Linked DNA regions of Sus scrofa. The protein of the gene in region 1 interacts with the protein of each later gene in a pairwise test. Links are inferred from orthologs where the notes say so. Each region holds a gene or a part of one and is shown in the gene's direction. Other genes may lie near its edges.

What was found. The genes of interacting proteins can lie anywhere in the genome.
Region 2: the proteins of NUDT21 (region 1) and MYL6 interact in binary tests that used the Homo sapiens proteins (3 or more experiments, as listed by UniProt). The two-hybrid records come from large-scale screens. The link is inferred for Sus scrofa from reciprocal best matches to the Homo sapiens genes NUDT21 and MYL6.

The regions. Positions count from the first base shown.
Region 1 is NC_010448.4:29,342,840-29,346,399, forward strand, and holds part of NUDT21 (cleavage and polyadenylation specificity factor subunit 5), read left to right. Parts: intron 1-1,306; coding exon 1,307-1,507; intron 1,508-2,428; coding exon 2,429-2,492; intron 2,493-3,560. UniProt on the Homo sapiens protein: Component of the cleavage factor Im (CFIm) complex that functions as an activator of the pre-mRNA 3'-end cleavage and polyadenylation processing required for the maturation of pre-mRNA into functional mRNAs.
Region 2 is NC_010447.5:21,557,908-21,562,182, forward strand, and holds the start of MYL6 (myosin light polypeptide 6), read left to right. Parts: upstream 1-1,417; 5' UTR 1,418-1,448; coding exon 1,449-1,451; intron 1,452-1,714; coding exon 1,715-1,742; intron 1,743-1,925; exon of another isoform or gene 1,926-1,945; intron 1,946-2,604; coding exon 2,605-2,748; intron 2,749-2,947; coding exon 2,948-3,121; intron 3,122-3,214; coding exon 3,215-3,292; coding exon of another isoform or gene 3,293-3,483; exon of another isoform or gene 3,484-3,600; coding exon 3,601-3,629; 3' UTR 3,630-3,646; exon of another isoform or gene 3,647-4,275. Other genes in the region: MYL6B (myosin light chain 6B), read left to right, coding at 1-101, 587-664, 814-842. UniProt on the Homo sapiens protein: Regulatory light chain of myosin. Does not bind calcium.

The DNA.
Region 1 (3,560 bases):
AAATCTTACACTCTGGAAAAAGTGCATTTTAGTTATTTAGAGCTGCTTCACTTATGCATAGACTTTGGCTTCTGGAATTAAAAAGTAATTTTTAAAGTTTTGGCAGCTTTGATTTGTTCCCCTTTCCAGGATAGCTAATTAGATTAGTTATGTAGTTTCTGGCTTTTGATGCAAAGTGTTTTGATAGAACAGATATTTTGGGGATAGGCAGGTATGGCCAAAGCATTCTTACTCAAAGGTTTATAATCAAAGGCTCCTTACTGTAAGGCTTATGATTGAGGGGTTACAAGGTAGTTCATGTGATGAACTACAAATATGGGTTTTTAAACTACCTTTAAGGGGAAAAGTCTTTACTGGGCAAGAAGAAAATTGTCTTCAATATAAGTCATATTTGGAATTCTTGAGAGAGGAGAGACTGTTCAGATTACATCTGGTGGGCAGAAGATTCAAATGAGAAGGGAAGAAAAAGGTTACTGAATAGAATAAATGCAGAAGGCTGAAAGATCTCGAAGGGAAGGAAAAGTTCATCTGAAGAAGAAACGTACCAGAAAAGTCTGAAGATAGTTGACTGGGAGAAGTAGAAAATAACTGGAGAGATGATGGAAAGTGGTGGCTCAGTTTTTCAAAAAAGAGAGATTAGCCATTGGCACATGAAATTAATAGAATTTCTGATTAGATTAGTAGAAGAACCCAAGGGCACATCAGCCAGGTTGGCAGTGTTAGTATAGGTCCATAATTTAAAACCAGAGGATTACCTTTTTTTTAGATAGCCCCTCCTCTAAGCATTTAAGGGCTTTATGAATAGTGTGTATGCCTGAAAGTTCAGGTATGGAGTAAACAACTTGATCTAATGGAAGCTCTGGCTTTAGTGTCCAAAGATCTAGACTCTAATATTTTCTGTTTTGTTAACTTATTTTTTTTTTTTCTTTTGTCTTTTCTAGGGCCGCACCCGCGACATATGGAGGTTCCCAGCTAGGGGTCTAATCAGAACTGTAGCCATCAGCCTATGCCACAGCCACAGCAACGCCAGATCCTCGACCCACACCACAGCTCACAGCAATGCCGCATCCTTAACCCACTGAGCAAGGCCAGGGATCGAACCCGCAACCTCATGGTTCCTAGTCAGATTCGTTAACCACTGAGCCACGACGGGAACTTCTGTTAACTTATTATTTAACTTCAGACAAATCCTGTGTCTCTGAGTGCAGTATGTACACTTCTTACCATGGTTTTTTAATGTGTGGTTGGTATTCTGGTAAATTATGTTCTGCAGTTGTCATACTAGTTATTTGTCTTTGGATCATAGGTACCCTCTTACCAATTATACTTTTGGTACAAAAGAGCCCCTCTATGAGAAGGACAGCTCTGTTGCCGCCAGATTTCAGCGCATGAGGGAGGAATTTGATAAAATTGGCATGAGGAGGACTGTAGAAGGAGTTTTGATTGTCCATGAGCACCGGCTACCCCATGTGTTACTGCTTCAGCTGGGAACAACTTTCTTCAAATTGTAAGTGTCATTGGAAATTAACAGCTTTTAATAGGATTGCTGTTTTATGCAGCTTTGAAATAGTTTTAGCACTAAGTCACTTATCACAACAAACATTGCCGTTAATGGAGTTTTGTTGAGGGTGTTGGCCAATGGCATGCAGGAATCCCTAGGCCAGGGATCCAACCTGTGCCACAGAAGTGACAACACCAGAACCCTAACCTGCTAGGCCACCAGAGAACTCCATATGGAGTCTTCAGGGAAAAAAGTCATAAGGATTTTTTGCCTAACTAGAAATCTGCATGTTTCTATATATTGTTGATGCTAATGACTGAGCCTGATAGAAGCTTCTGGGAAACAAATTAGTCCAAGTTCAATTTCTAAGTGTCATTGTAGCATTACTAAGAACAATTGATACTATTTCTTTCCTAGGATGAATAGTGTTGCTATTCTTAAAATGGCTTATATTTTTATAGGTAATTGTTTAGTTTTCTCATTTAAGTTTAGAAATCTCTCAGTTTATGTATAGTCCACAACTGTTTGACCAGATTGTACTAAAGAATTCTCAAATGAGTTCTTGAAAAATGCCCCATTCTTCAGGTCTAGAGAGTGTGGGTCCACTGCTCTCTGGGCATTTCTAGTCTCCAGATGGCGTCCACGGAGAAAAGATTGGGATGGACTGCTTTCCAGCAGTTATATGATGTTTATGTAGCGGTATATATTTTTTCTGTTTAAAACTAGGGTTTGTGTACTGTTAGTCTGATAAATTAGCCTCATGAATTTGACTTTCTAGCACGTTCTTGACATTTGTTTGCTTTAATTGCTTTATCGTGTAACACTGAAATATGTGTTAAACAGTACTTCATAGAAATGATTATTGTGTCCTTCCTATGATCCCCAATTGTGTTAAGTTGGAAGCTGAAGTTGTTAACCTTTATACAGACCAGGTGGTGAGCTTAACCCAGGAGAAGATGAAGTTGAAGGACTAAAACGCTTAATGACAGAGGTATTTTTCAACTTAACTATTCTGACGATTTCGTTAATGTTCATCTAAATACCATCAACTTAATGCATAATCAGTTTTTTTGTGTCTTGTGAAAAGGATGGGTTTATTTATTTAGTTTTCAATAAATAAAACCTCAAAGTGTTAGTACAGTGTTTATTTTCTGAAAGTTTAACTTATACTTTATCTTAACATTATTTTTCATTGAAATGATGTGGCAGTCATGTTAATGAAATAGCATTTACTGAGTAGTGCTGCTAAACACTGTTCTAAGTGCTTTACATGCAGTAACTCCTTTAATCATTACAACAGCACTAGGAAGTAGGTACTGTTATTAATCCCATTTTATAGATAAGGAAACCATGGCACAGAGGGTTCAAATAACTTGTTTTATGTTATAAAGCTATTATGCCCTGAAGCTGGAGTTTTGAGTGCAGGTGGTTTTGTTCCAAAGTAGGTTTTAATAGACTTTTAACAAGAGAATGATTCCTGTTGTATACTTAATTCCATTTTTGAACATTCCTTTTAAGGCTTTACTCAAATTGTACTAGTTTTTAGAAGTCATTCTAACGTCTGCCTCTAAAGATATGGGGCCAAATGCATAGATGCTGGAGATTTTTGACATTATAGCTTGTATTCATTATTAAATAGTTTTCTTTTTTAGCATGCAGTCCCCACCCCCCCATTACAAACTAATATATATTCTGTGCAAAAACCTTGGCAAATGTAGAAAGTAGAGGGAGAGACAAAACTAAAATCACCTGTAGTCCTATCTCTTTGATCTACTGGTTTGCCTTTGTAGTATTTTTTAAATGTGTAAAAGCTTTTAAATATTGTACATATGGTAGTTATACTTACCCCAGCTTTTTCTCAAAACTCCACCAAAAAACAGTTAAGGTGTTTTAGAAGATAGAAATCCAGTAGTATTGAGGGAGTGCAAAATGAGACAGAAGCAAGAACAAATTTTTAGAAGCTGGAAAGCAGATGAGCAAATCATAACTGACCTAGCAGAAACCTCAGCACAGCAGAAGGGCAGTCAGGACCCAGCACTGCAGAACACCAGAAAGGCTA
Region 2 (4,275 bases), on another chromosome or scaffold:
AGGCACATACCAGGACTACCTGGAGGGGCTTCGCGTGTTTGACAAAGAGGGGAACGGCAAAGTCATGGGAGCAGAGCTCAGACATGTCCTCACTACCCTGGGTGAGGCAGGGACCAGAACTGTGGGGTGGAGAGGAGGGGGTGAACCAAGAAGAAGGTTAGCCAAGCAGGCAGAGCCAGGGAGGGATTACTGTCCTGGAGGTCATGGGCAGAAGACCGAGAAGGTCAGAGCCTGCTTCTGGGGTACAGATGCCTCCCAAAGGGCAGAGGAAAGGGGATGAGATGGGAGATCTGAGCTTCTATTTTGGAAGAGATGGTTGGCCTCTGTGATATGGTATGTGTCTCTTAATCCTCTGAAATTCAGTTTCCTTGTCTGTGGAGCTTTCACCAGGTGTAACTGAGGTGAAATGGAAAGCAAGATGCTGGGAGGCATTCAAGGCATGCGCATTACAAGGACAGGATTCTCTTGGGGGACTGTTGCTATGGGCAAGTCTCCAGGGTGGGAGAAGAGGTACCACCCAGAAGAATGAGGCCTGGGTTGATGAGGGAGGGAAGGCAGGGGCTAAAACGCTGTGTCTGGGGTTTAGGAGAGAGGATGACTGAAGAGGAGGTGGAGACAGTTCTGGCAGGACATGAGGACAGCAACGGCTGCATCAACTATGAAGGTGAGCGGCTAGGAGCTGAAGAGACAGGGGAAGAGGGGAAGCATGAGGCTCCTCGTATGTGGGGGCGCGTCCTGTGGCCCAAATTATCTAAAGTCAGATGGATTATCAAGACCATCTTCTGAAGCCCCTCTTGCCTCCTCTCTCTGCAGCCTTCCTGAAGCACATCCTGAGCGTCTGAGCTCTACAGGTAGGGCCCTCCCACTTCGCCTTGTGAGGCCAGCCTGCTTCCCTTCCCTCTACCAGAGACATACGTTTCCACGTCCTGCTGCGCGCTTGAGCTCCAGGATTTGGCAACGTTCATCTTTTTCCACAGGTGCAGTGGGGCTCGACAAGGAGTCCCCCTACCCCTCGCGGGCGAAAGCAAGTTCCTGCCGCTAGGAGGCCACCTATTGTTTCAAAATAAAGTGACGGTTCCTCCCCTAAACCTCCGACTCTTGCTTTCTTCAGAGGTGGGGGAGGGAAGGAAGGAAAGGGAGGGATCTCCTCTCCCAAATCCGACATCCCCCGATTTTCCTGCGGCTCGCAGGAGGAGATTCCTTGCGCCCCACCCCACCCTCCTCTGCGGTTTCTGTGCCCCGGGTAGGACTATTCTGAAAAATGAGCCGCAGCGGGCCCCGCCCACCTCCTTACTAATGTAGCAGCAGCATCTGCATAAGACCGGGCCAGGATCCCTATTGGCTGGGTCAACGGAGGGTGACGTCATTGGGACGTACTAAGACTAGGGTTGGGCCGAGAACCGGAGCCATTACTGCAGGAAAAGGTCCCGCAGAGCCAAGCAGTCAAGATGGTGGGGCCCGGGGCTGGGAGGATGAGCGGGATTGGGGGCGAGAGGCGGGAAGCCGGGGGTAGGGGGCGAAGAGAAGGCAGAAGGTAGGGGGCAAAGGGACTTGAGGGTTGGAGGTGGGGTTGGAGATGTTGAGAGCCTGCCCTGCTGGGAAGCGAGAGTGCCCAGGATGGAACAGGAGTTCGTGGTTCAGAGTTCTTGGGACGGGGCTGGAAGCTTGGGGGATTGGAGTTAAGATGCTGATCGCTCCCCTCTTCTCCGAGCAGTGTGACTTCACCGAGGACCAGACCGCAGGTAGGTAATCTCTGACCCCGCTGAGGTCATGCTTAGGGAGAGGGACATTCCTTCTAGCACCTACCCCCTACCTGTCATTTCTTCAGCACCCACAAGGGAGTACCTCGTGGATTCCCTTCTCCCTCCTTCTGGGCCTCCATTTTCTTTTCTCAATCTTTCTTCCTCCCTCCCTTTCTACTCTAGATCTGAGCCCCAAGCACCGGGTGAGTTCTGTAGGTGGTGTGAGCATGTGAAACAGCTTGGCCACCAATGTCTGCCGTGTGTGGGGCTCGGGAGTGATGTATTAAGCTGCTTGTGCTCCTCTGTTCCTTAATCACCTCCTTCTGCCTCTTCTCTCCTCCTGTGCTAACTTTCCCCCTCCCCCAGCTTGGAATTGTGAAGGTTGTAAGAAGCAGTGACCTGTTGTTTTGCTGGTACAGGGGAGTTTGTTGAGGACGCTTCTTTGCAGCTATACTCTCTGAAAGATTTCTTTCTGTACTGAAGGGGTGAGAGTGGCAGGCTGGGATGACCCCAGTCCCAGGCTGCTGCTCCCACTTCCTTATAAGGACAAGGCCCAGACTGGGCGGTGGCAAATTCCTGCCCTGAGTACTGTAGTGAGGAGGCTGGGCAGGCTTGCTGTAGGCAGAGGGGGTATGGAAATGGCAGTTACCACTCTGCCAGGGCTTGAGGAGAGCTGTCTTTATGTGGGACACCTGAGTTGGGAAGAAGGGACACTAGATCCCTCTTAGAGGGCTTGGGTGTACAGTGGTATAAATATCTGGTTTCCTCAGCGTGATTAAAGTTGAATGGGCAACGGGGACTGTGAGGGAGGGTTTGGGTTCATCTGTGCCTGCCAGGTGCTGATGTTTATCCGAATCCTCAGAGTTCAAGGAGGCCTTCCAGCTGTTTGACCGAACAGGGGATGGCAAGATCCTGTACAGCCAGTGTGGGGACGTGATGAGGGCCCTGGGCCAGAACCCCACCAACGCCGAGGTGCTCAAGGTCCTGGGGAACCCCAAGAGTGATGGTAAGAGTCCTCAGAACAACCTGCTCAGCATGGTGGCAGGCCCGCAGTCTCCGGCTAATAGCTTCCTTTTATCTTCCTAGGCCCTGAACTCAAGCAGGTCTTGTCTAGCAAATCCCACAGATTTCTCCTGCCTTGAGTGGGAGCCCCGTAACCTCCAGTAAGAACACACGTGACTTTGCTCTCACCCCCTTTGTGGCAGAGATGAACGTGAAGGTGCTGGACTTCGAGCACTTCCTGCCCATGCTGCAGACTGTGGCCAAGAACAAGGACCAGGGCACCTACGAGGACTATGTCGAAGGCCTGCGGGTGTTCGACAAGGAGGGCAACGGCACCGTCATGGGTGCGGAGATCCGGCATGTTCTTGTCACACTGGGTAAGGCTCCGCCCTTGCTCCTTGAGCTGAGGTGCCACCTGATACACCTCACCTGTCACCCAGTTCCAGAACACTCACTCTTCCCCTCTGCAGGTGAGAAGATGACAGAGGAAGAAGTAGAGATGCTGGTGGCAGGGCATGAGGACAGCAATGGTTGTATCAACTATGAAGGTAAGGGACAAATGGAGGCTCTCACAAACGCAGTGGCTATCAGGGGCAGGTCAGGCACAGTGTTTGGGGCTTTCCTTGTCCCTGGGCTTGGGCTGCACAAAATGCCAGGAGGCAAGGGGCAGGGCCTGGCCCAGCCCAGGAGTGGGAGGCCTGGGGGGTGTGGCAGGAAAGGAAGGGCTCCTGCGGCTTGAAGGGCGGGCAAGGGGTGGGGCGTAAAACCAATGGGTGTCTTGTTCCCTCACCGCCTGATCCCCTTCACCCCACGTCTATGTCTTGTCTTCACCATTAATGTCTCTTCCTTCCTGCAGCGTTTGTGAGGCATATCCTGTCGGGGTGACGGGCCCCGTGGGGCGGGTACGGCTCCTCCCAGCCCCCCCCTTCTCTAGTTGCCCTCCCCAGTGTTTTTCTTCCTGGCCTTTGCTCTCTGGCCCCTGCCCTTCCCCTACTACCATGACTTCCTCCTAGCATGTCTCTGCATGGAGCTGACTGAGGAGGGGGGGTTCTTCAAAGAGGAAGGCAGCCTGGGGGTGTGGTACCTCCTCCTCTCCTAGAATGGGCTCTGAGGTTTTGCTTCTAGGGCGCTGGCGTCTGGGAACTCACACCAGCCTATCCCCGTCTTGCTTCAGGGTGACCCTGTGGCCCGGGAGCATGGGCGGTTGACAGAGGGGGGTGGGTTGCCCGCCCCATGGTGCTGCTGCAGCCGGAGTCGCTTCCCCTTCCTTCTGCTGGGCAGCTTGGAGGTACCCTAACCCAAAACTCTGTCTTTTCCTCCCGCCAATGGCTGACAGTAGCTGTAGGTGTAGCTGAGAACTCTTCTGCTCTGCTGTGTTCTTGCTGCTCAGGGTCGGGTGGGGAACTAACAGCTGGTGGGAGGGGAGCTGGAGGCCGAGAACCAGTCAGACTCAAGGTAGCGCCTCTGCAAACTGACCCCAAGGTGGGTTGCTGTAGGCACGTTCCTCCTTAGGCTACCTTTGTGGTCTTGC